7 linked regions of the Cricetulus griseus genome follow. The protein of the gene in region 5 interacts with the protein of the main gene of each other region in a pairwise test. Links are inferred from orthologs where the notes say so. Each region holds a gene or a part of one and is shown on either strand. Other genes may lie near its edges.

Region 1 (2,878 bases), on a different chromosome or scaffold from region 5:
GTGGTTGTGTAGTTCTGATGTCCGTTCTGCAAGCTCTGATAAAACAGTTGTTTCACTAAATCCGGCCTTTGTTTTTTTTTTTTTTTTTATTTCATCTCATTCTGTAACATGTAGAGGAGAACCTTGTGTGTTTGTGAGGGACCGACCCCGACCCTCGCCAATTCCAACATTCCAGAGTGATTATTTGTCCCCTTTCCTCTCAGACTTTAAATCACTGCTTCTGGTATGCGTGAGAGGTTACAGGGCGGCATTTGAAGAGCTGATCAGAAGTCCATCTTAATCTTTTGGGCAGCATGTTTCAAAATGGAGTTAAATTTTACTCAATTTGCATTGAGAGCCGAATGGCTGAGAACCCAGGAAACCTTAGGGTAAAGCACGTAAAACCAAAATAAAAGTGATCCCCCCCCCCGCCCGCCGCCGCGCACCCGTCTCTGCGGCACAACTCACTCCCAGTGCAGCTCTGCCCACGCATACTCAACTAAAAGATTCAGACCACGCCAGCCATGCCACGAGGTGTGTTTTATTTTCATCAATCATACAAATAATTTTCTATAATATCCCAGGGCAAACCGGTAAAATTTGGCAGTCCGATTAGTGGGGGGGTCCCCCTTCAGAGACCCACGGGCCGGTGGCATCGGCGCGGAATGCCCGGGTTCACAGTGCAGCTTGTGGCTCGCGTCCATCTTGCAGGTGGCTCTTCCTCCACATCACGAGGGGGTCTCGGAGATGACGGGGTGGGGTAGGGTGGAGAAATCCTCCAGTCTAGGCTTTTAGGAAATTTCACTCCTCTTTTCCTGTTCAATGGCTGCGAAGGGCGGGATGTGGGCATTGCAGGATGGAGCGAGCCACCTTGCAGCCCACCCACCCCCCACCTCACAAACCTGGCGTGGGTGAGGCACCCACGAGGCCTGGGGACAAGAAGGGGATTTGGAAGGGACAAAGTGCTTTGTGTAACTGGAAGGGTGGCTGTGGCCGCTCAGATTCGGGGTGGGAGGTAGTGGCCGGATGGGGGTGGGGGGTGCCGGGCTGGCACAGCAGGGAAGGGTGGAGTGCTGGGGTGGGAACCCGGAGGCGGGGGCGAACTCACTCTCTTTGGTCGGCAGGGTGTTCTTCTCCTGCGTCTCGGTCTTCTTCAGCTTGGCCTTATCGAAGCTGGCGATTTCCCCCATGTCCGGCTTGTCTGCCATTTTCTTAGAACCCTGATGGGCGAACCAAGGCTTGGGGATGACCAGCGATCCCTGGATCCTGCGCCCTCCGCGAACACCTCTCGACGTGGCATTCCCGGCCCGGAGGCCGAGGATCCCGGGCTCGTCCACCACACCCTCCCTCCTAAATCCCAGGGCGTGGCCTGCCAGCCTCGGAATGTTCCAAACCGCCGGGTCGCCTGTTGCAACCCAGGGGGAACGCTCCCGCCAGCCACAAGCTGCCCCGACCCCACCCAGGGTAGGCCCTAAGCCCAGCGATGTGTCTCACCGTGGAGTCTCGTTCCGAGCTCGCGCTCCAGGTGCTCCCACTCGCCTTGCTGCAGCAAGAGACAAAAGAGCGGCGCCCGCCCCTCGCCTTATATACACCGCGCCCCGCCCCGCCTCTCGCCCGCCGCAGCGGGGGCGTGGTCAGCCCGTGGGGGGGCGTGGTCAGCGCGCGCGTTGGGTCGGGGGCTCAGCATCTCCAGGCAGTCCCGGGCTCCGCCCTTCTCGGCCCGCGAGGTTTGCCCGTTGCGGTCCCGCGGTGGGGTGGCAGACACAAGCTCTCTGCGGGCTCTTTCCCTGCTGCATCTCCTTCTCCCAGTACCCAGGAGCCTGCTGCTCACCTCGTGGGAAGGGCGTGGGTGGCAGCGGGGAAGGACTGAGGTTTTGCTGCGTGTATGTGTAGTGTGGGGTTGTGGGTGTGCGGGCGGGCGAGCACGCGCGCTCTACTGCAGCCCTGCTCGCGGGAGACACCCAGCTTGCCTCGCCCTAAGTCTCTGGTGTTTGCCTCTCTAGAGTCTCCTCCTTTCCTTTCTTGTGCTTCTTAAAACACACTGTTTCGGGCATTGTCTAAGGGTGGAGGTGGGAGCTTGGAGAGTCCTGGGAGGGCTCCACTGTTCCTTCTCTCAGTGAGAGGTCTCTTAGGAACACTGTACCAGAGGGTGTGGTTTTCCTCCTTCAGTTAACCTTGAATGTGATTTTAAAAAGAAAAAGAAAAAGCCAGTGTGCCTGCAAATCTTGCTTTTCTTATTAACCCATTTCGGGAGTGGAATATGAATTCCTGGAAAAGTTTACCTCTTCAGCTTGTGCAACCCCCTTAGATAATAAGTTTTATTATATTCAGCTAGGGGTGAAACTCACCATCCATTCCCCATTCCAGTGTCGAGTAGTGGAGCATATTCCACTGACAGGAGAGGAAGAGGGGAACTATTTCTCGAATGGCAGTCCATATAGACAACCACCAAAAAAAAAAAAAAAACTTTGGTAGAGGGCTTGAGGTGATAAAAGTTTATTTGGAGGCCTGGAGAGTTGGCTCACCCACACGGTGGCTCACAGACTTCCGTAGCTCCAGTTTTAGGGGATCCCACATCCTCTGCTGGCCTCCTTGGGCACCACGTATGTATGTGGGGTACACACATATGTATACACATGCAGACACTCATGCGCATGACATAAAATAAATCTTTTAAAGAAAGTTTATTTTTTACTGATGCAACAAGATCTGTGCTAATTTCTTTTGTTTTAATTATTATTTCTTTTAGACAGGGCTTCACTGTGTAGCCCTGACTGACCTGCAACTTACTATGTAGACCAGCCTGGCTTTGAACTCACAGAGAGAGATTAGCCTGTCTCTTGAATCTTGGGGCTAAAAGCCTGTGCTGCCATGCCTGGCTCTGTGCTGTCCACCACAT
Region 2 (3,500 bases), on a different chromosome or scaffold from region 5:
GGCTAAGAGAGTATCCCTCTATGTGGAGTGGGATCCCAAAGTCCATTTGTACACTAGGGATGAATACTGATCCACCACCAGAAGCCCCATAGATTGCCCAGGCCCCCTAACTGACACCCACGATCAGGGGGTCTGGGTCAGTCCTATGCTGGTTTCCCAGCTATCCGTCTGGGGTCTATGAGCTCCTCCTTGTTCAGGTCAGCTGTTTCTGTGGGTTTCTCCAGCCTGGTCTTGACCCCTTTGCTCATCACTCCTCCCTTTCTACAACTGGATTCCAGGAGTTTGGCTCAGTGTTTAGCTGTGAATCTCTGCTTCTGCTTCCATCAGCTACTGGATGAAGGCTCCAGGATGGCATATAAGGTAATCATCAAACTCATTACAGGGGAAGGAAATTTAAGGAGGCCTCTCCACTATTGCTTAGATTGTTAGTTGGGGGTCATCCTTGTAGATCTCTGGACATTTCCCTAGTGTCAGATTTCTCTTTAAACCTATAATGTCTCCCTCTACCATGGTATCTCTTTTCTTGCTCTCCTCTATTCTTCCCCCAACTCAATCTTCCTGTTACCTCATGTCCTCCTCTCCCCTCCTCTTCTCCCCTTCTCTTTCTCCTAGATCCACCCCCCACTGCCCGTGTTCCCAATTAGCTCGGCAGATCTTGTCCCTTTCCCCTTCTCCAGGGGATAAACATACTATGCAGCACACATAGTATAGTATATAACTATACTGTAGTGAAGACACTGATCTGAATAAAGAAGTGAGATGAAGTTTTAGAAAGTAGTAATCAAAAGATTATACCAAGGGGGGTATAATAAAAATATCTAAGGGTTTTTATTTCTCTAGCTGCTTGTTTTTATTTATCACATATAGCAGTCACTTGCTTTATGTGGATTTAGTGAAACGAATAGTGACCATAATATTTCTTAAAATTTAGTTAACAATTATCTCCACAGGCAAGGACACAGAAAGCGATTTACTGAGCAGAAGAACATTCAAGTTGTTTGAACTGTAGTGAAAGTCTGCTCCCCAAAAGGGATGGTACAGTGTGGGGAAAAGATAGAGTTTGTATCTGAGATAAAGAGATAAAAAGAATCTTACCCATCTTTGGTTGACAACCTGATGGAGATTCTCTATCATGTTCTTCCAGTAATTGCTTCTGATTTTGTGGATGGCTCTGTCCCACATAATGAGATTGAGCAACAGCTGAGGAGTCAAAACTCATGTTGCAGAAACCACTGAATTTGTTTCTGTTGACTTCTCCACTCTTGTACACCTGTAAAAATCACAATCTTTTTATTTTTGAAAGATTAAAAAACTGACAGATCAGAATTATAATATTCAACACAGACAGCTCACCTGAGAATTCTCAACATGCATGTTCACTTTTGTACCAGGCACTTCGTTTTGTTCCCCATGCACTTGAAAATAGAACTTAACATTTTGAGCATGTATTTCACTCTGAAAAAAAAAGATGTGACTTTGTTTATTTAACACTAAATATACACCTAAAATATACACCTTTCTGAATGTGAGGTCAGGAGACATCAATTTTTTTTTTGAGTCAGGATTTCTCTGTGTAACAGAGGCTAGCCTTGAACTCACAGAGATCCACCTGCCTTTGCCTCTCAGGTTCTGGGATTAAAGCACCACCACCACTCGGCATGAGACATCAATTTTAGCAGACTTAGTAAACCTTTTTTTTTTTTTTTTTGAGATCAGGGCCTTGAATAGGCTAGGCAAGTGACATACTTTTGAGCTACATCCTCAACCCATGACTACAATAACTATAAAGAGTTTCACTCTAAACTTCAGTTCAAATTAAAATGAATGACTCTACAACTTAGAAGTCAGTATTTTTCTGTTAAACATAATAATAGGTTTCATTATGACATTTTCATGCATGTATATATTTTCATTATATTACATTATCTCTTTTCTTCTATAGTGCCTGCTAATTCCCTCTTCCCAACTGATGAACCCTTCTACTTTCATGTCTTTTTATATGTGCCACAATTGTCTTCATAAGGAAAACTTACATGAAGATTAGTAAAAGATATTTACAGGATTATGAGCACCTTATCAGGGACTATATCACTGCCAAAAATCTCTCCCATCCCAGCAACCATCAATTGCCAATAGCTGCACAGGGAGTGATGAGGCCTCATGATCTCCTTTCTCCTAGCAACTGCTAACTGTCAATGGATCTGGGGATGGGTGGGAGGCTTATGACTCTCTCAATTTCAAAGGCAGGAAGCTGACAAGCCAAATCAATAGTCTACATTTATTATACATGAATACTCTAGGAGTTCTACAGCATCGCTCAAAGTTGCTAATACCTACATTATATTTACTACAATAACAGAGAATACAAAGGGAGACAGAATGGTGTGAAGAAAAGGAACTTTGTGGTCAAAACCAATGAGTTTAATCTGGACTCCATAAACTTAAATTTGTATGTGACTCTCTTTTCCTGAGCCAATATTCTTGTCTGTCAAATGGAAGTGTTACCACGTTTCAGGTTCTTAAATTAATCAAGTAAGGTGACTTATATGAAGCTGACTTGCTACACTTAAAAATATGTTTTCTCATCTTTGTTCCCACTGTATTTAACCAACCTCATAATGTGAAATCCTTTCTGATTCAAGATGCAGTACCACTCCACATGCTTGACAAAAATCATCTGTAAAATATGCAGATCTTTCTTGTCCATCACAGGTGGCATCTATTAATAAAGTAAAGAAAAAAACTACCATATCAATGAAGTTTGAATTAATCAAATTTTCGGGAGTATGCAGTAACAGCCCTTTCCTCAAATATGCCATTTAATGATGTCCAGGCAGTAACATTAGTTAAATGGACACAAGTAACTTCAGGAAACTTCACAGAATGATTTAAGGAAGCAGTAATGAAAGGCTGAATTAAAAAGATAGTTTTGATATTTTTTCTTTACAGAAAACAATCCTAAAAATATAATACAATCCTAAGGTTTATAAGACTGCTATATGAGATATGGCTCCAGTGTTATTTAAAAATCACAAGGGCAAATTTCTTCCATCATTACAAAAATACCAGGGCACTTATTTGTAAACACACAAATTTCACATAAATTTCACATAAGTCTCCCTCCAAATATATAAAGCAATGTTCATATACTACAATCCGGAAATTTATGCTGTAGTTCCTGTGTCCATAATAAAGAGCACACACCCGATAGTTTTATATCTACACTTTAAGTCCACATTTACATCTAATGTTCTTAACAGCTTCAGTGGATTCTTCTGTCAATGTTTATTGGTTTATCTATAGGTTATTAATTAAAATAATCAAACCTTTGCTGCTAATTTGGCTTTTTAAATGAGCAAGTTTGTATAACACTCACTTTCTTTTTTCTTTTTTTGGTTTTTTGAAACAGGGTTTCTCTGTGTAGCTTTGAAGCCTATTCCTGGCACTCGCTCTGGAGACCAGGATGGCCTTGAACTCACAGAGATCCGCCTGCCTCTGCC
Region 3 (4,087 bases), on a different chromosome or scaffold from region 5:
CCTGCTTTTGGAGCAATGGGATTTGATGCTACTGTACACCTATCTCCAGAAACCTCATCTTTAAAAAATTTACGATCCTAATGCTCACATAGTATGCATATGCACTAACACATAGGCATGAACATTAAATAAATGTAAATATCTTTTAGGCCAGTTAAATGATGATTCACTGGATAAGGCATTTGCCACCAAACATAAAGACCAGAGCTTGATCCAAGGCTCACATGGTGGGAGGAGAGAACCAGTTTTCACAAGCTGTCCTTTGATCTCCATGCAATGGTGCGTTCTCTCTCTCTCTCTCTCTCTCTCTCTCTCTCTCTCTCTCTCTCTCTGTGTGTGTGTGTGTGTGTGTGTGTGTGTGTGTGAATCAATGTAATGTAAGAGCCTGTCCTGGCACTTACTCTGTAGACCAGGAGCTGGCCTCGAACTCACAGAGATCCATCTGCCTCTGCCTCCTGAGTGCTGGAATTAAAGGCGTACACCAACACCACCTGGATCCATTGTTTTTTAAAAATTTTGTGATTCTGAGCTGAGCATGGTTTCATACACCTGTAACCCCAGGATTCCATAATTTAAGACAGTATTGCAAGTTCAAGGTCAGCCTGGGTTATAGAATGATGAGCCTTAAAACAAAACCAAAACTTAGGATCTTGGTCTTCCACCAAGCATGAAGATGGATGGGAGCTTGGGAGGGGGAGAGGGGGCAACTCAGCTATATACAGCACCCATCTCTAGCACTATGGGGAAGGGAACATGGAATGAAAAGAAAAAAAAAATGCCATTGAGATTCAGTATTGTGACAAAATTTGGCTCCACTCAGAAATAGAATATCCCATGAGAGCGAGAGCTGACCCTGCATAATACCTACCTGCCCAGTCTCATATTTTCCATTTTGTTTTGGCACCTCAAACACACCAACTGTCTCCAACACTTTGCCTTCTGCACGGTTTCTAGTTGGGAAGGAAGAAAAAGAATAAGCAAGTGAAATGCTGAGAAGGTAACAGTCCTTCTCCATCAGAAACAAACAAACAAATAAATAACCCCTATCAGACTGAGGGGCCAGGGCAATGACAGCAAAGGCCAAGGATGCTGTTTTTTTTCCCTTAAGACCCATCCACAGGCCTCTATTTGATGAAGACTTTCCCAGTCTCCCAGTGTTAGATCTAACTACTCCAAATTTACTTTCTTCTTTCTTCACTTAGCATTTCCAAGGTCATGCCTGCATATCCTTTTTAAATATACATCTTTCCCCACCCCCCTGGACTACCACAGCATTTTAACTGTCCTTCCTGTTTTGCTGGTGTCCATGAGAGACTATTTGTTCCCTGACAGCAATGCCTAGTATGTAAAAGGTGCTCAAAAGGCATTTGTTCTGGGGCAAGCAGTTCTGCTGTTTCTGCTCTTACCCACTGCTTCCTTGCAGTATGCTTAATAAACCTGTTATCTGCTACTTTGAAAAATTGTTCTGAATTGAACATGGTTCCCACAAGTCTGTAATTTCAGAACTCTTGAGGCTGAGGCTGGAAAATCACAAGTTCTGGGTCAACCTGGCTACATAGCATGACTCTCCCAATTCTACACATCCATCTACCCTCTAAACTATAACTGTCTTTACCATGACCTGAAGACTTAACATCTCTAGATTCCCAAAGGATCAGCACAAAGTACACTTAGTACTGCAGTCTCTTTACATACCATCCTCCCAGAATTATTTAATTCTTAAATAGCAGATACCTCCCTCAGCCACAGTTCCATCAATTACCTTTTTATTTTTTCATCACATTAGTTTTACTATTACTATTATTACCTATGCCTTTAAATTATAGGATAGATAGAGCCAACCTCACCATACCATAATCCCTTTGTGCTATCTTATATTCCTACTTGTATGGATCAAAACTCATACTGAACAATGAGTTCTGGGTTGCAAGAGAGGGTTTATTTTTGCACCTGTCAATTACCCTTTTAAATAAGACTACTTTTTCTATGGACTCGTCAGAGCACTGTGATTTTATTTTGGAAATTCTAACTTCATACCCAACTCGATCAATCCTGTCTGGTCCCTAAAATACTTTGTTTACACCATCCCCAAGCCTGGAACCCTCTTTCCCAAGTCACATAGGCAAAAACCAGTCTCCCCAAGGTCACACGGAAACCCAGGACCCACAAAGGTAGACACTTAAGTCGACTTGTTTTCCACTTAATAGCATCTTTCTGAGAGAAGCCATGATCCACGAGGGGCTGGGGATCAAAGTCAAAATCCTTGTAGCTGTATTAAATGGCAGCCCACTACAGGTGCTGGGGACCCTAGCAAGGGAGGCAGATTCGCTGAAGAAGCGTTACTTGTTCTCCCTCGGAGCTGCCCTGCACTGCCAGGGCCCTGGGCCGTGCTCCCTTCTCTGCTCCTGGCACATGTCCCAAGCAGCGCATGTCGGCTCCCTACTCGGGACCACTTCTCAGGTGACACTCCGGTTGCCCACAAACAGTCGGGCCTCCCGGTCTCCTCAGTGGCTAGGAACATGCTCCCCAAATTCTGGGCCCGGCTCCCTGGCTCCCTGGCCCCCTGGCTCCGTCCCTCACCGGGACGATAGATGCCTTCGCGTCGTCGCTGTGGCCACCAGCGGAAGGGTCCCTGCTCCACCGACCGCACACAGCGGCCTCAACCCTCGGGCCGTGACCAGAGACCGTGACCACCAGCGGCTGCCCACGGCCAGGGCCCGTCGGGCCGCACAGGCAGCCATGTCCCGCCCGAGCGCCCGCTCGGCTGCTGACACAGGGCCCGACCCGCGGCGGGGCGGCGTCCCGCCCCCGCCCCACACTGCCCCGCGCCTAAGCCCCGCCCCCTGGCCCTCGGGCCCGCCCACCGCGTCCGCGCGGGCTCCTCCAGCTACATCCGGCGCAGGTGAGCGGAAGTCCCACTCTGGGATCACCTGACCGGAGCGTGCGTTAGAAATGGCGTCTTCCTTGCTTGGTGGTGAGCGACTGGTTCGCGCTTTGGGCCCTGGCGGAGAACTGGAACGGGAGCAGCTGCCCCGGAAGCTGCGTGCCCAGCTCGAGGCTGCTCTGGGGAAGAAACACACGAGCAGAGATAACGCCACGGGCCCCCTTCGCCTGATTCCCTTCCGTCTGATCCGAGAACTGCATCAGCACCTGAGAGAAAGAAGTGAGCGTTCCCCAGTCAAGAGTCGCAGCCTCATTTTCACCGCTAATCCCTTCTGAGGCCTTTTTTTTCGCCTGTCACTCTCGCGTGCCTGCCAAGTTCTCATTTAGCCAGTCCAGAACCCTCCTCATAAGCCCCGGGTTCACCACTTCCATCTTAAGTTCCGTGGGCATTCTTCATGTGTGACAAAACGTATTTGTGCAGATTTTGTTGAGTGTCCACTTTTAGGTCTACCTAAGTCCACCTGACTTTTAAGGAATTCGGGATTCTAGCGCAATATTTTCTACCATGTTGAGCTTCTCCATTTTGAGGTCATTTAACGTAGTGAGCTTCTGTTTTGGAATAGTTACTTTCCTTACATCTCAAAGGCAAGGGTGGAGATTTCTGATCCCCGCCCCAGACCCTGTTGGGGTGAGGGTAGGGAAATATAATAACAAAAAGGAAAGAAATAAAAGCAACTGTATTGAAAGTTCTGAACTGAGAGTCTCATCTAGTTCTAGTCCTTTCAAAGAATTTCTCCTCTTTCTTTGAACCTATTTCCTTATCTGTTAAGGGAGGGAGTAGGGTAAACTGGCATGTAACATGTATTGCCAGAATTAATATTCCAGCCAGAAGTGCAAAGAGTAGACCTTCAACTATTAGGACTTTAAGAGAACCTTAGAAAAAGATCCTCCAATACAATGCCCTCTGAGTGTTTAGCATCACAACGACCCAATTCTATCTAGGACAGATCTATTATTTTCACAGAAATAACCTCCCATTGGCAGGATAATTGAAGACTGACAGTTAAAGTCAACTGTGTAGTACTAGGAAATACTTAGGTGGAATTGTCCTAAATATTTCTTGGTTGAAAAATAATCTTGAGTAAAAAGAAAAATGAATGAATAAAAAGAGATAGAAAATGATGACAAGGCTGGTCATGGCACA
Region 4 (3,500 bases), on a different chromosome or scaffold from region 5:
AAAAAAACTTTGAATAGGTCCTTAGCAAATGTCTTTTGAATTGGTATGGAAGTTATTCCATGCTAGTGTAGAAGGCTGGCTCAGGCTAGCATTTGAATTGGTCCTTCTCAGAAATGACAACAGAGGACACACTTTTCATTCATGAACCGTGTCTCTGAGGCAGAGGAATCTTTGGTTTCTTGTCTTGTAGGACAATCTGAAGTAGTTCTAACTAAAGTGGATTACCTGTCTCAGGAGACTCAGTGCAAACTCCAGGTTCTGCAGCCTCTGTCTGTTGATAGCATTAACCTCTGTGAACTTGGCAGAAAGAACAGCTTCCTATAGAGAAATTTTAGGAGAGCAGTTAGCAGGTAAGCTAACAAGCTAGAAGAAAAACAGAGCACTTGGGCACAGGCTAGGAAGAGCCTGGCAAGTGGTGAAAGGAGTGGTACTTTCCCATTCCTACCCATAGCTCCATCCATTGGTGGAGAGGTAGACTTAGAAGACCCAGGTTGAGTCTTGGTACGTGACCTTTGAGAAAAATCTTTCCAAATAGTCTTTTCATATGTGTTAGAGTATGTACGGTTCTGCATTACAGACTCACACAGGGGAGCAAGATGGGAGCTTCCCATGTGCCTGGCACTGGGAAACAGTGCTCAGGAAAGGACAGCAAGTTGGATGTCAGCCATGGGATTTCTGTTTCTTTCTGTCTCTCTGTCTCTCTGCCTCTTAGGCATTTTGATATCACTGCCCCAAAACAAGTTCTTCCTCCTCTTCCATGTGTATCACAGAGGACTGCATCCAGAGAGCCTTTGGCAGTCTTCACTCACAGCTTACCTCTTCCTTCACCTTGGCAGCAGGAGACTGCAGCCTGGCTCTCTTGTTCACATGGCTGTTCCGTCCATTCTCCAAGTCTAGCAGGGACCTCAGCTTCTCTGCTTCAAGCTCGTAGTCCTGGATAAAAGAAAGACGGTGCAGTAGTCAGCTAACAGCAGCAAAGGAGCAGCTGCAATGACTTATGCTCCATCTAAGGACTCTGACCTGCCCTTGGCCAGGAGCTGGTTTTACAGTCTTGCACATCTTCCTCACATCTGTACCTGAGCTGGGTGCCAGGAGGTTCTGAGAGTTTCTAAGACAGTGACAAGTTGCTATCTCACACAGCGATATACATACAAGAAAAAATGCTCTGAAATTCCCACTACTGCAGAGACAAACCAAGTGACTCTTGAAGCCCTTCCAACAGGCCCAGAGGCCAGATACCACTTCCTTAGTGAACACTACATCCTGAACTTGTCCTCCTTTCCTCCATCACAGACCTTGACATTTCCCATCAAGTAGACTTGATCATTCCCACAGATATTTCTGCACAGGCTTTGCTAGTTTGTTTTCCTGTTACAGAGCTGCCACATAATTTTGTTTGGTGTACATTGTTCTGTTGTTTTGTTTTCTTTTAGTATAAATGCCTACAAAGAGTTTACTGTTTCAAAGAGTATAAATGTGATGATATTGGGTACCTGGTGCCATACTGTTTTGCCAGAGGGCTGGACCTATACATGGCTACTTCCTGTTTTCCCAGTAACCTGTCCAGATTTCTCTGCATCTTATAATGCAAAAGCCCCTTCTGTGTGCTCTAACAGGGTTCATGGCTCACCTTCACAGCTTGCTGGTACTGCTGGGAATCTGCATAGACCTTCTGCACCTCCTGTTCTCTGCTGGCTATCTCATTAAGCAAGTTCTGTAAAACAAAAGATACTAGAAACCAAAACTGAACCAATGCATTTGCATGGGCATGCATGTATACACACACACACACACACACACACACACACACACACACACACACACATATCAAAAGTCTGAATCCTTAGAACCTAAAGTCAACATGCTATAGTTCCAAGTGTAATGATGGCTTTCTTGTGTACATTTGTTTACCACAAAGGGCAATGCCAAGGCCTGGAGCAAGAGACATGAAAATGAATATCTATGCCAGGAAACAGGTGTTTATTGTGCTCTGAAATGCCAGGCACTGTTCCGACAGAGCATGCAATCCTCCAGTGGACTTGTGAGCCAAGCCTGAGGAACTTGAGAATGAGGAAACAGAAGCTCAGGAAAGGACAGCAAATTGGATGTCAGCCATGGGATTTCTGTTTCTCTCTGTCTCTCTGTCTATCTCTGTGTGTGCACATGTGGAGGTCTACATCATGTGTCCTCCTCTATTGTGCTCTACTTATTTTTTCAGACAGGATCTCTCACTAAACCTGGAACTCAACCATTTTGGCTATTCTTGCAAGCCAGTGAGTTTCAGGGATCCATTTGTCCCTCTTTCCTCCCTGCTCAGTGCTAGGGTTATAGACATGCTTAGCCATGACTGGCTTTTTAAGTGGGCTCTGGGTCTCAAATTCAGGTCCTCATGTTTGCATGGCAAGTGCTTTTCTGACTAAATCATTTAGCCGTGGCCATTGGATTTCTGAGGTCCTTGTGGCACTGAAAAGGCAGAAAGCCCAACACTGATAATGAGATCTTCCCCCAGAGGGTTCCCTATGTTCTGTCAGGTGCCATGAGGCCAAGCCACATGAATATCTGTTGCTTTGAGCCCTATGAAGGGCATCAAGAGGGAAGAGGTGAGCGAGACATGCAGTACTTGTGAGGTGATACTAGAAGCTGTGGCCCAGTCCTTTGTCTTGCCTCACTGGGCTTGAGGATTTCTGATCTTCCCAAACATCCACTGCAAAGTAGAAGCAGCCATCTTACCTTCTGGTTCTTCAGCTTGGTCTCCACCTGGCTGAGGCTGTCTGTTTCCTGGGGCTGGTAGGTGGGGGTGTTAGCCAAGAATTGGAGCACTTGGTCATAACCGCGGCGGTACTCATTGTAGGCAGCTCTGGCACTCTGCAGGCACTGGGCCCTGAGGGGACAAAGACAATCTGGTCTACACAGCAGGCAGAAGCCTCACTGATCTCTCTGTTTTGAGGGGTGGTGTTCTTTCTTGGTTTGTATGTATGTAGGTAAATAGGTCAGATTGACTGGCCAGTGAGCTCCAAGAGGTCCACCTGTTTCCACCTCCACAGCTCTAGGATTATAAATCCATGCCATCATGCCTCCTATCCTTTACATGTATGCTGGGGATAAAACTCAGTTCTCATGTTTGTGTGACAAGGACTATTCTGACTGAAACTATCTTCGTAGCCACACTGAGTTTTAAAAGAGTAGAAAAGCCAACTGTAACTGAACTGGACAAACTTGAAACAGTCCCAGAAAGCAACAGTTAAACATGGATTATTAATGGGAGGGTTAGGAGCTGCATCCTGATGGTCACAGGGGCACTTGAGCAAAGGGAGGCTACAGTGGCGGCTGGGAAACCCTCCAATTCCCTCAAGATGAAAATTTCAGCATTGCAGTCCCTTTACAATGTTAAATTCTTACATGAGGAAAGGGAAAGCATCTTGAAACAACAACAATCTAAGCTCCCACCTTAGAAAAGAAGACAGGCACATTAAACCCAGTGCAAGCTGCCTAAAGGAAGC
Region 5 (4,024 bases):
CTGGCTCAGCTGTGCAGCCAGGAAAGGGCACTTGCTCCCAGAGCCCTGGCTTGCAGTGGGTGACGGGTGTCCAGCCGGGAGCTGTGTGCCATCTGGAGTCTGCTGGGATTCGTCAGGAGCCTGCTGGACTGCAGCTTTGGCAGCCTTTTCTTCTGAGGAAGGAAATGGAAAGAATGAGACATCAGACCTGCTTGCCGGAGTGCACAAGCAAGTCACTGAGCCTTATCACCTCAAACTTCATGCTCGTTCTAGTCTATAACCTTTGTTAAACTCTGCTAATATCCGTTCTCACCTGTCTCACAGCGGTTCTTTGAAGGGTTTTTTGGCCCATCCCAGTCACCTTTCAAACTCACATGTGTTCTCCTTAGAAACCCAAGATCACTATTTTATACTTTCAGACAACACAACATTCTTTTTTCATTTGTTTAAGACAGGGTCTTGCTATGCAGCCCATGATGCTTGACTTGGCAATCCTCCTGCCTCAGCCTCTAAGTGCTAGGATTTTGTGTGCACTTAGCCCCAAAGCTCTTGACTTGGTTCTCCTGCCCCATGCACACTCAGCTTATTTCAGGACGGAGATGCTCTCTAAGGTAATTGGAAGCCGTCCCAGTTATTCTCTCTTCGGTTTTCTAAGAAGATTCCTAATAAAGCTTAACCAGTTTTAAAAATACTTCAGGAAAAAAAAGTGGGCTATCACTTAGATCTTCATGTTGTCCTCTCTGGGTTCAAATTATCAGGATGCCTGGAAAGACCCAGGTTACAGTCACACAGCTCACCTACTTTCTTGTTTAAGTTCACCAAAGAGAGCTGCTGATGTAACATAACTAGCTGGTTTTGTGCTCTAAGTTACAGTCACTCCTCGATCCCTTGAGCAATGCGCTCACCTTCCTTCTAGAAAAGTCTTCCTGCAGATTTTGGAATACTCCCATGAGTCACTGGCTGCTCTTTCTACCACTTGGGTAAGGTGTCTCAATACAGTTTCCATAACATTTTCTATAAAGGGAAGTCAAGAAATGTTATTTTGAAATTAACTTAATTTTACAAGCAATGCAGTTCTGTTATGGAAAGTCTAGACAACAGAAGGGAAAATGATTCTAACTCAATACATGGCCACTACAGACATTCTGAGAAAAGATAACTGACTCCGGACAGGAAGTCCCCTAAAGATCTAAGTCCTGCCCACTTACAGAACAAATGCTCCTTTCCTACAGGTACACACTGAGGAGAAGCCTGGAAGGTGAAACATTCACTGCAAAGCCCCTCTCCTGGCAGAACCTTACTGAGACCATTTGGGTCTATTCACTAAAACTTCTCTGTCGGTGTCAGATGCATGCACTGACAATCACTAACACACCTAGAGCAGTGAAGCTGACAGACAGGAGAGTTGGTGGTTGCCAGGAACTGGAGCAAGGAGTATGGGAGCTTTTAGTTTGGGAAGCTGAAGAAAGTTCTGGAATGGCACGGTGGTAGAACAACATGAATGCATGTAATCTACTGAATCACACACTTAAATGATAGAACAGACACTGTAGTAGTGCATGCTTATAATTCTACCATGTAACAGGCTGAGGCAGGAGGATTGCCACAAGTTGGAGGGCAATTTGGGCTATATTATGAGACTCTGATAGAAAAAAATAAAAAGCAGCTGGGCGTTGGTGGCGCACACCTCTAATCCCAGCACTTGGGAGGCAGAGGCAGGCAGATCTCTGTGAGTTCGAGGCCAGCCTGGTATCCAGAGCGAGTGCCAGGATAGGCTCCAAAGCTCACAGAGAAACCCTGTCTCGAAAAACCAAAATAAATAAATAAATAAATAAATAAAACTAAAATGGTAAATTTTATATTATTGCATTTTAACAAAATATTTTTTTTGTTTTTTTGCTTAAAGGGAAAAACACAAAATAAAACAAAAGGATGGCTCAGTGGTTAGAGCACTTGTTGCTCTTCCAGAGAACTCAGGTTCAATTTTCAGCGCTGCTATGGTGGCTCACAACCATCTGTAGCTCTCCAGGGGATCTGACCTCCTCTTCTAGCCTTCTTGGGCACCAGGCATACATGTGGTGCGGCCCAACACTCATACACATAAAGTAAAATCAATATATCTTTTAAAAAATAAAAACAAAACCTGGCAGTGGTAGCTCAGGTCTGTGGCGTCAGCACTGGAGAGGCAGAGGCGGGGGTCATGTCCTTGTAGCCAGCCCAGGCTACACAGTGAGTTCCAGGCTTGCATATGATACAAAGTGAGACATTGACTCAAAATACTAAACAGATTTTAAAATCGCTACTTTATGAGTCAAAGGCCAAATCTTTATTGAGGAAAAGGTTGCAAGTGACTGCTCCTACCAGACAATGAGGAAACACTAGAACCCAGCAGACCTGACATGTAATCCAGAAGCCTGTCTTATTTCACTTTTAAATTCAGGAGCATGAAAAGCTCCTAATCCAGGAGTCAGAGGGACAGTTACACAAGATGACCCCCTCCCATAGACAATGTTGATCCCCCTCTCAGAGTGGCCCTTACCACCCAGGAGGTGTTCCTTACTGCTAGCCCTACTTACTCTCATTGGCTGGAGGGGTTTCTCTGATCTGCTGGCAGTGTGCTGCTGAAGTGGACAGGGTTCGAGGGGCTGGCTTGGCCCCAACTTCCATCATCTTGGGGCAGTTCTGAGCATAGAACAAGAGAGATTTTCCTGCCTTCTGCAGAAAGGCCTGAGGGACTCGAGATAAGAATGGGCATCGTCGAACCACAGTCTCCATGTCTGCAAAGGTGCTGGTTCCTGTGAAGAATCCATGGTGAGTGATGTCAAGCGTGCCCCAGATACACGTCTCACTCAAAACAAAAACAAACAAAACTAAGGACAGCACCGACATGGGACTCAGTAAAGGAGTCACCAACTTCATTCTCCACCTCGACATAAAAGGCCCCCACCCCCACGCCCACCCCTCAACGCATCTTCACTGGAGTAAATAGGGACGATTAATACAACCAAGGGGGTGAAAGAGATGGAGGACAAAGCAGAATAGGTGTGGGAGGCCAGAGGCTCCTGGAAGGGTGTGCAGTGTTGGTAAGACACCTCAGCACATATTCCAGGGGCAACAGTGGGGCTAGGGAAGATGTCACTGTCACCATGTAGGGAGGGCTCCTGGGGAATCCTAGCAACCCGGGGGAACGGGGAAGAGTCTAGACCAGCCCTGAGTTCACGAGACAAGGTCATGCCCCCTAGAGCTGGATCCGGGAAAGGAGGCAGAGAGGAGGGTAGGTAGGGTCAGGGCTGACTCGGGCAGGAGCAAGGCCAGCCAGCCCAGAGAGTCGGGCTGGCGGAAGGGGGTCAGCGGTGAGTCAGAGGTTGCCCGGGGTCGCAAGCTCGAGAATGGCAAGGGTAGGAAGGAGATTATGAAGCCGCCTTTCAAAGGCCGAATGTCAGGAGGGGACGGAACGGGGCCTCTGAGGTAGCCTAAGAGGTAGAGGGAGGGTGGTGGTGGGGGACGCTGAGCCTGGGTGGGGGCCGGAGGGGGATGGGGCGTGTGGCCGCGGTGGCGGGGCGCGCCGGCCCACTATAGCAGCTTCGGGAATGCAACGAACTGCTGTGGCCCTAATATAGAGCCGGAGTGACCGCTGCGCATGCGCCGAGGGCGCGGCCTGACCTGCGCACGCGCGCCGGAGTCGGCAGGGCAGGGCAGCAAGTGTCTCCGACAGGGCACTGCTCCAGCTGGGCGAGTGTGACTTGGGCCTAGGCTTCCAGGATCAAGAGGGCAAGGCAGTGGGCGGGCAAGCCCCTTTTTGGACCCCATCCTTCGCCCTCTGTCACCTTCCACGAATAGCTCTGTGCGTCAGACTCCTGCGCCCCCGAGTAGGGCGTAAACCAGCCACTCAGGAAGCTACCTGATAGTGAAAGGGTTTCTGGGATTTAGAGGAAGGGGTTATGGGTCTGAAAAAGCTGATCAACTAGGCGCTTAGTTTTGTTTATGGCAATGACAGGGCTTTTCTACTGGCCTGGAGTATATAGCATTTAGGATTGAACCTAGG
Region 6 (3,993 bases), on a different chromosome or scaffold from region 5:
CTCTACTCTCCCACACTGGGAGATGTTTATAAGCAAATTCTTATCTGAGAATGGTCAGTTAGCACAGAGCAGGTTTCACAAATGATCAAATGGGACATTTACAATGAAGGATTTCAAGAATTTTACTTTCCTGTGGTTCCATTTCCATAAACCATGCTTTCCCCCTCCCCATCCATATCTGAGGACTCAGCCAGCTTCCCTCACATGATTTCAGGTAGCCGAGGGGCCACAAGTACACAGTGGGTCCAAGCTGAGAGGTTCCTTACTAAACACACATTCTGCTTCCTACTTGGAAACTGGACTTCCAAAATATGGGCATTTAGTAAATAGAAATGGTGGGTTCAGAAATTGTCTGTTCTCTCATCTTTCTGTAATTTTATGCCAGTTTTAAATACTTCACAACTAAAACATAATTCTCAGTTTTTAACTATAGGAAGTCTTAACCATGTTGGGATTGGGGAAAATGTTCAGATAAATTCCTTTTAATTTAATAGTTTAGTGAACATACCATCTTTTAACTAATTATCTTGTTCTGTTCTGCTTGTATTTTAAAATAGTAAAAACTGCAACATGGCTTAAATGAAATTCTTTCCCTTTTCACTGCTCACTGACTGCTTTGGTAAACAGACAGACACTCTCTCTCTCCTTCATACTCTCCCTCTCCCCCAACCCTTCCTTCCTCCCTCCCTTCCTCCTCCCCCTTCCAAACCTGAAACAGACAGGTCAGGTTAATTCTGTTTCAGAAACAGTTCATGTATATTCTAAGTGACTTCCAAATTATAACAGCATTGACATAAACACTGTGTGTTTGTGGTGTTGAGGCAAGTACTCTATTGCCAAATCTCACTATGGTGCTCAAGCTGCCCTCACTCTGTAGCCCAGGTAGGCTTTGAACTAGTTATCATCCTGCCTTGGCTTCTGGAAGAGCTATCATTGCAGCTAACTTAATGTATTTACTTATTTATCCATTTACATTTTTTTCTATTTATTGTGTGTAAGAGACAGAGTGGGCAAGAAGGGGAGAGGAAGAGACAGAGACAAAGGATAGACAAAGATAGAGTGCCTGAGTGACTGTGGAGGTCAGAAAAAGCATCAGGAGGTCAAATAACTGAAAAGCACTCATCTGCACATTATCATACAGTGAACAAGATCTGAACTGTCCCCCTCAGCCAAATAATTCACTTAAGTTTTTGCTGTTCATTTGGTGAGAAGATAACATAATATTGTTCTCTGAGTTGCAAAAACTATCTGGCTTTATCCATTCAGTCAATTTAAAGACAGTGTGTTTGACAATTCTTAAGATACATGATATAACAATAATTTACACTGAGTTTTGTCAAGAAACATTCACACTGTCAGAACAACTTTATATGGTGTTTCTTCAATTAAAGTAGATGGATCAATGGATGAGAGCACTTGTTGCTCTTGCAAAGGACCTGCGTTTGAGTCCTAGCACCCACAAGGCAACTCACAACCATCTATAACTCCAGTTTGTGGGAATCTGATAACCTCTTGTGATCTCTGAGACTACCATGCACATGGTGGACATGTATACATACACACAATACATGCACATAAAATAAACTAAAAAATATTTTGAGCAGATGGTTTTTGGAGGTCTAGGGAGAACAAAAGAATTGTACCACCTAACGTAAGTCTAACTGCAAACAACATAGTGTAACGACAGAGAGTACCAGCCAGTCAGACTTGGACTTGTTGCCCAACTCTGCTATTTACTGAATCTGTTACCTGTGCAAATTACTTACCCAATATTAAAGCCCAGTCCCTGTTTATACCGTGAAGACAAACCCTACTTTGAGACCTTTAAAAGAATTGTGGGTATATGTAACACCTGGTTCGGTGACCAAATGTTAATTTCTCATTCATAAATGTAAAGTAATGCAGACCTATGGGCTAAGCTGCTTTCTAAAGAATACCATACCAGATCAACAAGATAACAAGTGAGTTCTCTTACATGCTTTCTTCATTTGCTATTTGTGGATGGTGCTTGCATACAACTTCAGTACTTCCGTATTACAAGATATGAGGCTATCAGACTGTAAAATAGAAGCCTTGTTCTCAACACACCAAAGACAGACATTATGAGCAATGTAAGAAGCACGCTTTCAATCGCCAAGGAAGCACTTGCTTTTTTGTGCATTTTTTAAAGAACGTAGTCTTTTTATAAAACAAGAAAACATAACACCCCGTTTTCCTCCAGAGAAACTTAGACAAATAAGGGAAAGAAAAATTTCTTCTAAAATTCTATAATCAGGTGTCAAAGTGATAATTGTCGTGGTGACAGAAACGTCCCTATTTTGTTCCTCACCTTAAAAAGTAGACATTTCAACTTTTCATCAGGATAGCTGACAATGATTGTGTACAGTGGGTTATTATGCATAGAGGAGGCTAATGGCAAAGGAATCCAGTGGCAAGTCAGTCTACTCACCCAGAAGCAACCAGGGCTTAATAACGCCAACTTGCAGGTCCAAGCTAAGGTCCTGCACATAGCCACAACCACCCCCACCGCTGGGCTCTGCTTCCACAACATGAACTGTGGCATCTTTCCAGCTTTCTATAATTTTCTTTCCAGTTAGCGTGGTCACCCTGGTGCACTGCTTCCTGAGATTATTCCGGGAGAATGCTTTGATTTCTTGGTTCAGGGAGTGCATTACATGAGCGGAGGAGGAAAAGCAGCAAACACAAAGAAACTGCACTCACTACCAGTCACTTACAGTAGCTGGCCGCGGAGGTGACAACCGCACCTCTGACAGAGAGCAGCTCAGCCCTGCTGTCCCCAGCACCGTTCTAAGAAGAGATCTCATTGGCTGCTAAGAAACAGGGACCGATTGAATGCCGCTTCTCATTTGTTGACGAAGTTCTGTGCCTTCCGGGTCCATTCAGACGCAGCTCTGTCGGGGCTTGTCTTTAGTGTTTGATCCCTGCATTATCTTGGACACGGGATGGTCATTTCTAAGACTCACCTGAAGAGAGTTGGTACCTCCTGGCTCTCCAAGGGTAGTGCTTTCTGGGAATGTTCGACTACTTACGATGGTGACGGTGGAGACTGCTGCTGAACCATCGACTCTTCCACCCTGCCCGGATCCTCTTGTGGCTCACTGGGCCTAGCCTAAAGGGGCTACAGTGGCTTCCAGGGCCTGCTCCTCTTTTGTCTTCCTTTTTTTTATTTTTTATTTTTTTATTTCTGCTGTTGCCCCCGGGAGAAACATTAACTAGATAAAACCACTGAATATATTAGTGTGGCTCCAACTGAAATGCAATGTAAATAAAAGGTCGTTTTAAATATGTTCCTGTAGATTAGCAAGGCTTAAAATTTGTGTATTCGGATTTTGCACGCCTTAAATACTGAAAGCATGGCCGCAATTGGAGACATAGTTGAGAAAAATCAAGTATACAAACCTAAATATACCAAACGAATGAGTAGAATGATGCTTTTGCCCGCAAAGGATGATTTGTTTCGTAAAATGAAACTACAAGATTTCTTCAACTGAAATTTTCCTACTAACCCTTACTAAAAGGCATTTTTTAAGGTAATTTGAATGTGATGTATAATGTTAAGACTTCAAAAAATGTATTCACCAGCATTACATACAAACATTTGAAACTTTCTGACATTAAAGTTAGTTTATGGGCTGAATTTTTATGTCCTTTCAAAATGAGTTGAAATTATAGGCTCAAGTGTCTTGATATTTGGAGATAGGACTTCTGGAAGGATAAATAGTCTTATATTAAAACATATGACATGTTTAATGGCTTCATGAAAAGGGAAAAGAACTCTTCCTTCCCTTACCCTGTACCAGATAAAGGAGAATAAAGGAAATTGGGAGTAGTGGATGTCCTCAAGCCCAGAGTGGGAACACACCAGAAACCTTGTGTAGGCCAGCACCTTGATTTTATATTTCTTGACCTCCAAACCACAATAATTACTTTTCTCATGCTTACGCTATACAGTTTATACTTCTTGTTAACGGC
Region 7 (3,500 bases), on a different chromosome or scaffold from region 5:
ATCCCAGAAGTAACCCTATGAATTAAGTTATTGTTGGAGCCTGCTCCAACGAGTCAGCTGGGTAATCTAAGTAGGGATGTGAGGATTGAGTAAAGGAATATAAAAGAAACAGACAGAAACACAGGATAGATTGGGGAGGACTGCCCGGTCCATGTCTTTCAGCACACCAAACAGAGTTTAATTTAGATCCTGTTTATATACAGACTACAGGCAAAGCAGAACAAAGAACAGCATAGTCAATTAACCAGCTCTCTGCACTGTCCTTGAATCAAAGAGAGGCCAGGTTCACTCTCTGTCACTTGAGTCCTGCTAGCAACAAGCAGCTTCATTCCCTATTTCTATATGCCTTTTGGCTGGAATCAGAAGCTTGTTAGTTAGATAATTTGTTCTTTTCCATAGGCTTGATCAGAACTTTCTCACAGCTCCCAAGGAGACTGAAACAAGCAAGCTTGAACTCTAATGTCTTATAAGTCAGAACAGACTCCAGATGGAAACTGAGTCACTTTTGGGCTGCAACAAGTTGTCAGTGCTATTAACATTTAATTAGAGATGTGAGGTAATGACCGAATACAGTTGAAATAAAAATAAAATCCATACAAAAATTAACTGAAACACAAGCCATCTGAATCCAGAAGCAAAGCTACCAACAAGAGGGTAACCAATTTTGTTCTATAGAGTCCAAACACTATTTTTAAGTGTTACAGGCTATATGACCTCTCTCAAAACTACTCAACAAGAGTTGTCAGAGTTAAACAGCTACAGATCACATATAAATGAGTAAATATGGCTGTTTAAACAACAACAACAAAAACTTTTATTATAGAAGCAGGTGACTGAACTATATCTGGACTACATAGGTTACTTGACAACCTTTATTCTTAAATATCAAACTATACTTCCACTCAAACTCAGCATGACCAGGATGAGAAGAAGATATGAAACAAGCAACTTACCTTCTTTGCCTTTGAATCTTTCCTGGTCATATCTGTTGTAGGCAGCTGGAATAGGCTGCTTCGTACGCAATGTGGGATCCTGAAAAAAAAAAAAAAAAAAAAAAAAGGAAAAAAAAAAGGGCTTATTTAACATTCTTAAAACCTGATACAGGGGCTGGAGTGGTCGCTCACAACCTGATTATGAGATCTGGTACCCTCTTCTGTGTGTGCAGATATACATGGAAGCAGAATGTTGTATACATAATAAATAAATAAAATCTTAAAAAAAAAGTGTTATTCCCAATATAGGCCAGAAGACAAAATAAGGTAAGATTACTTGGCATTTGATAACTAGGATTCACTATTGAATATTATTTGCTACTAAAAATTGATCATCCCGCTGGGTGTTGGTGGAGCACGCCTTTAATCCTAGCACTTGGGAGGCAGAGGCAGGCGGATCTCTGAGTTCGAGACCAGCCTGGTCTACATGAGCTAGTTCCAGGAGAGCCTCCAAAGCCACAGAGAAACCCTATCACGAAAAACAAAAAACAAACAAACAAACAAAAACTTGACCATCCCTACACCAAGAATAAAGACAATTTCAAGTATACCTGTATCAAAACTGCAGAAATAATATGGTAAACAAATACGTTCTAATTACTTAAATGACTTTGTGAAATAATACTCTCTCCAATGATAATCTGAACAGAGAGAGCTCCAAGACAGTCAGGGCTACACAGAGTAACCCTGTCTCAAAAAACCAAAAAGAAAGCAGGGTGTTAGTAGTGCACACCTTTAATCCCAGCACTCGGGAGGCAAAGGCATGTATGTGGATCTCTCTGAGTTCGAGGCCAGCCTGGTCTACAGAGGAAGTCTCAGGATAGGCTCCAAAGAAACACAGAAAAACCCTGTCTCAAAAAAACAAAAAAAAAAAAGAATAAGAAAAAAAAGACTAAAGTAACAGGCATTCAATAAACACTTATTAATGTATACTATAAGACTAAAGTAATAGATGTTAGTTTTAAAAATTTGAAAATAGACACTTTCTAATTATGTAATCTAATTCAAATATTTCATACTAAACTTATAGTCTATAATAACCTAAAAATAGTTATTTAAAAAAACATTTTAAAGTTACCTAGGAAAATCACTATATTTATATATTCTTCATTTTGTTACAATAGGATTACACTCTAATATTACAAAAGAAAAATTATCAAGAATTTAGCTACATATATACATCTGTATGATCAAATGCCAAACATAAATATTGCAACTGTTTTCAATGATTATAAAATACACAGAAGGAATACTCACATTCACAAAGACAATGGTTTAAATATCTTAAGGTTTCACATTCTTCCTACCAATAACTATTGAGGACTCTAAAAATCTTTAAGCTAAAGTTACAATTTATGACACTAAAGATAAAAACTGACAAATTTTTAAAGTAGGAATTGACTCCTTAAAAAAATAAGAAAAGCAAAATTCGATGTAAACATATTTAATAAAAATTATTTTCCAAAATCCACCAAAAAAGTAGTAAGACTAAAACTTGAAATTTTATAAATGTGTTTAATATCTGACTTACTAAAAATGATAACTATGACATTGTATTATTTTATCTCTAGTTGCTCAAAACATTACAGAACAACCAGATACTAGTTATTTTTGGTACATCAACTAAAGGTATCTAAATATTACCAATAGTTCAGTATCTGTAAAGATTAAATATCAATGATTTCATGCATAAATAAAATTAATATTAACTTCCAAGGCTATGTTTAGCACTCTACCAATGTTTTTCCAAACTCTATATAAAACACAATTAATCTGAATTATATTTTTTGCCTTTCTTGAATCTTGAGAACAGGTAGAAAGATTTACAGCAAACTAGAGGGTATTTATGAATTTAAATGGAGACTATATGGCATGCATGAATTTAGGGTTTGGAGGGTCCTAAGTAATAACCTTAAACAGTGAGGCGCTCAACCACCAGAGGAGTTAAAGCTGGGGTACAATAAATGGGCCATATGGCAGGTGACAAGGGAAAATAAATATACCAATATGAAATGGTCACAAAAGATTTCAAATAACAAGTCCAAACTGGAAGGTAACAATGATTTATATTTAAACAATAATTAACAATTTTCTCAAGTAATAAATAGGCCAGCTACAGATAACCTAAAAGTTAACTAACTTAGAAGGCTTTTCCTAGTTAACCCCTTTTCAGACTCTCACCCAGGTGTATCTCAAGAATGACCCAAATTATTGCTGAAATAACTTTTAAAAGTGGGAAGGGTCTTTTACAGCCTTTGAGTATGCTGAAGTAACAAAACTTTTACACCCTACTGATGTAAATTGTTTAAGATGTCAATTAAAACACTAAAATACAAAACGAATGTCACTTTCTTAAAAACAACAACATAATCAGAAAAGAATCTTACCACAGGGGCTGTATTTGGAGCAGGCCGCTGTTCCGGGGCACGCCCTTCTTCTCTGGCTTTTACAGATTGAAGAATTGCAAAAATATTCTTGGAAAAATTCTAAAACAAATAGATTCTAATT

Evidence for each region.
Region 1: the proteins of Alas1 (region 5) and Tmsb10 interact in binary tests that used the Homo sapiens proteins (3 or more experiments, as listed by UniProt). The two-hybrid records come from large-scale screens. The link is inferred for Cricetulus griseus from reciprocal best matches to the Homo sapiens genes ALAS1 and TMSB10.
Region 2: the proteins of Alas1 (region 5) and Zmat1 interact in a two-hybrid assay, tested with the Homo sapiens proteins (2 studies listed by BioGRID). The two-hybrid records come from large-scale screens. The link is inferred for Cricetulus griseus from reciprocal best matches to the Homo sapiens genes ALAS1 and ZMAT1.
Region 3: the proteins of Alas1 (region 5) and Poldip2 interact in binary tests that used the Homo sapiens proteins (3 or more experiments, as listed by UniProt). The two-hybrid records come from large-scale screens. The link is inferred for Cricetulus griseus from reciprocal best matches to the Homo sapiens genes ALAS1 and POLDIP2.
Region 4: the proteins of Alas1 (region 5) and Ppl interact in binary tests that used the Homo sapiens proteins (3 or more experiments, as listed by UniProt). The two-hybrid records come from large-scale screens. The link is inferred for Cricetulus griseus from reciprocal best matches to the Homo sapiens genes ALAS1 and PPL.
Region 6: the proteins of Alas1 (region 5) and Dusp19 interact in a two-hybrid assay, tested with the Homo sapiens proteins (3 studies listed by BioGRID and IntAct). The two-hybrid records come from large-scale screens. The link is inferred for Cricetulus griseus from reciprocal best matches to the Homo sapiens genes ALAS1 and DUSP19.
Region 7: the proteins of Alas1 (region 5) and Cdc73 interact in a two-hybrid assay, tested with the Homo sapiens proteins (3 studies listed by BioGRID and IntAct). The two-hybrid records come from large-scale screens. The link is inferred for Cricetulus griseus from reciprocal best matches to the Homo sapiens genes ALAS1 and CDC73.

Annotation. Positions count from the first base shown.
Region 1 is NC_048601.1:64,695,442-64,698,319, forward strand, and holds Tmsb10 (thymosin beta-10), read right to left. Parts: upstream 1,608-2,878; 5' UTR 1,474-1,607; intron 1,200-1,473; 5' UTR 1,188-1,199; coding exon 1,088-1,187; intron 806-1,087; coding exon 771-805; 3' UTR 501-770; downstream 1-500. UniProt on the Homo sapiens protein: Plays an important role in the organization of the cytoskeleton. Binds to and sequesters actin monomers (G actin) and therefore inhibits actin polymerization.
Region 2 is NC_048604.1:45,073,013-45,076,512, reverse strand, and holds part of Zmat1 (zinc finger matrin-type protein 1), read right to left. Parts: intron 2,720-3,500; coding exon 2,613-2,719; intron 1,456-2,612; coding exon 1,354-1,455; intron 1,271-1,353; coding exon 1,096-1,270; intron 1-1,095.
Region 3 is NC_048600.1:91,900,370-91,904,456, reverse strand, and holds the start of Poldip2 (polymerase delta-interacting protein 2), read right to left. Parts: upstream 2,801-4,087; 5' UTR 2,742-2,800; coding exon 2,581-2,741; intron 2,004-2,580; exon of another isoform or gene 1,874-2,003; intron 951-1,873; coding exon 869-950; intron 1-868. Other genes in the region: Tmem199 (transmembrane protein 199), read left to right, coding at 2,953-3,163. UniProt on the Homo sapiens protein: Involved in DNA damage tolerance by regulating translesion synthesis (TLS) of templates carrying DNA damage lesions such as 8oxoG and abasic sites.
Region 4 is NC_048600.1:41,606,355-41,609,854, reverse strand, and holds part of Ppl (periplakin), read right to left. Parts: intron 2,882-3,500; coding exon 2,731-2,881; intron 1,715-2,730; coding exon 1,631-1,714; intron 934-1,630; coding exon 817-933; intron 319-816; coding exon 226-318; intron 1-225. UniProt on the Homo sapiens protein: Component of the cornified envelope of keratinocytes. May link the cornified envelope to desmosomes and intermediate filaments. May act as a localization signal in PKB/AKT-mediated signaling.
Region 5 is NC_048597.1:214,445,898-214,449,921, forward strand, and holds the start of Alas1 (5-aminolevulinate synthase, nonspecific, mitochondrial), read right to left. Parts: upstream 2,801-4,024; 5' UTR 2,755-2,800; coding exon 2,556-2,754; intron 153-2,555; coding exon 1-152.
Region 6 is NC_048599.1:94,487,311-94,491,303, forward strand, and holds the start of Dusp19 (dual specificity protein phosphatase 19), read right to left. Parts: upstream 2,801-3,993; 5' UTR 2,673-2,800; coding exon 2,450-2,672; intron 1-2,449.
Region 7 is NC_048598.1:46,750,515-46,754,014, reverse strand, and holds part of Cdc73 (parafibromin), read right to left. Parts: intron 3,479-3,500; coding exon 3,380-3,478; intron 1,033-3,379; coding exon 954-1,032; intron 1-953.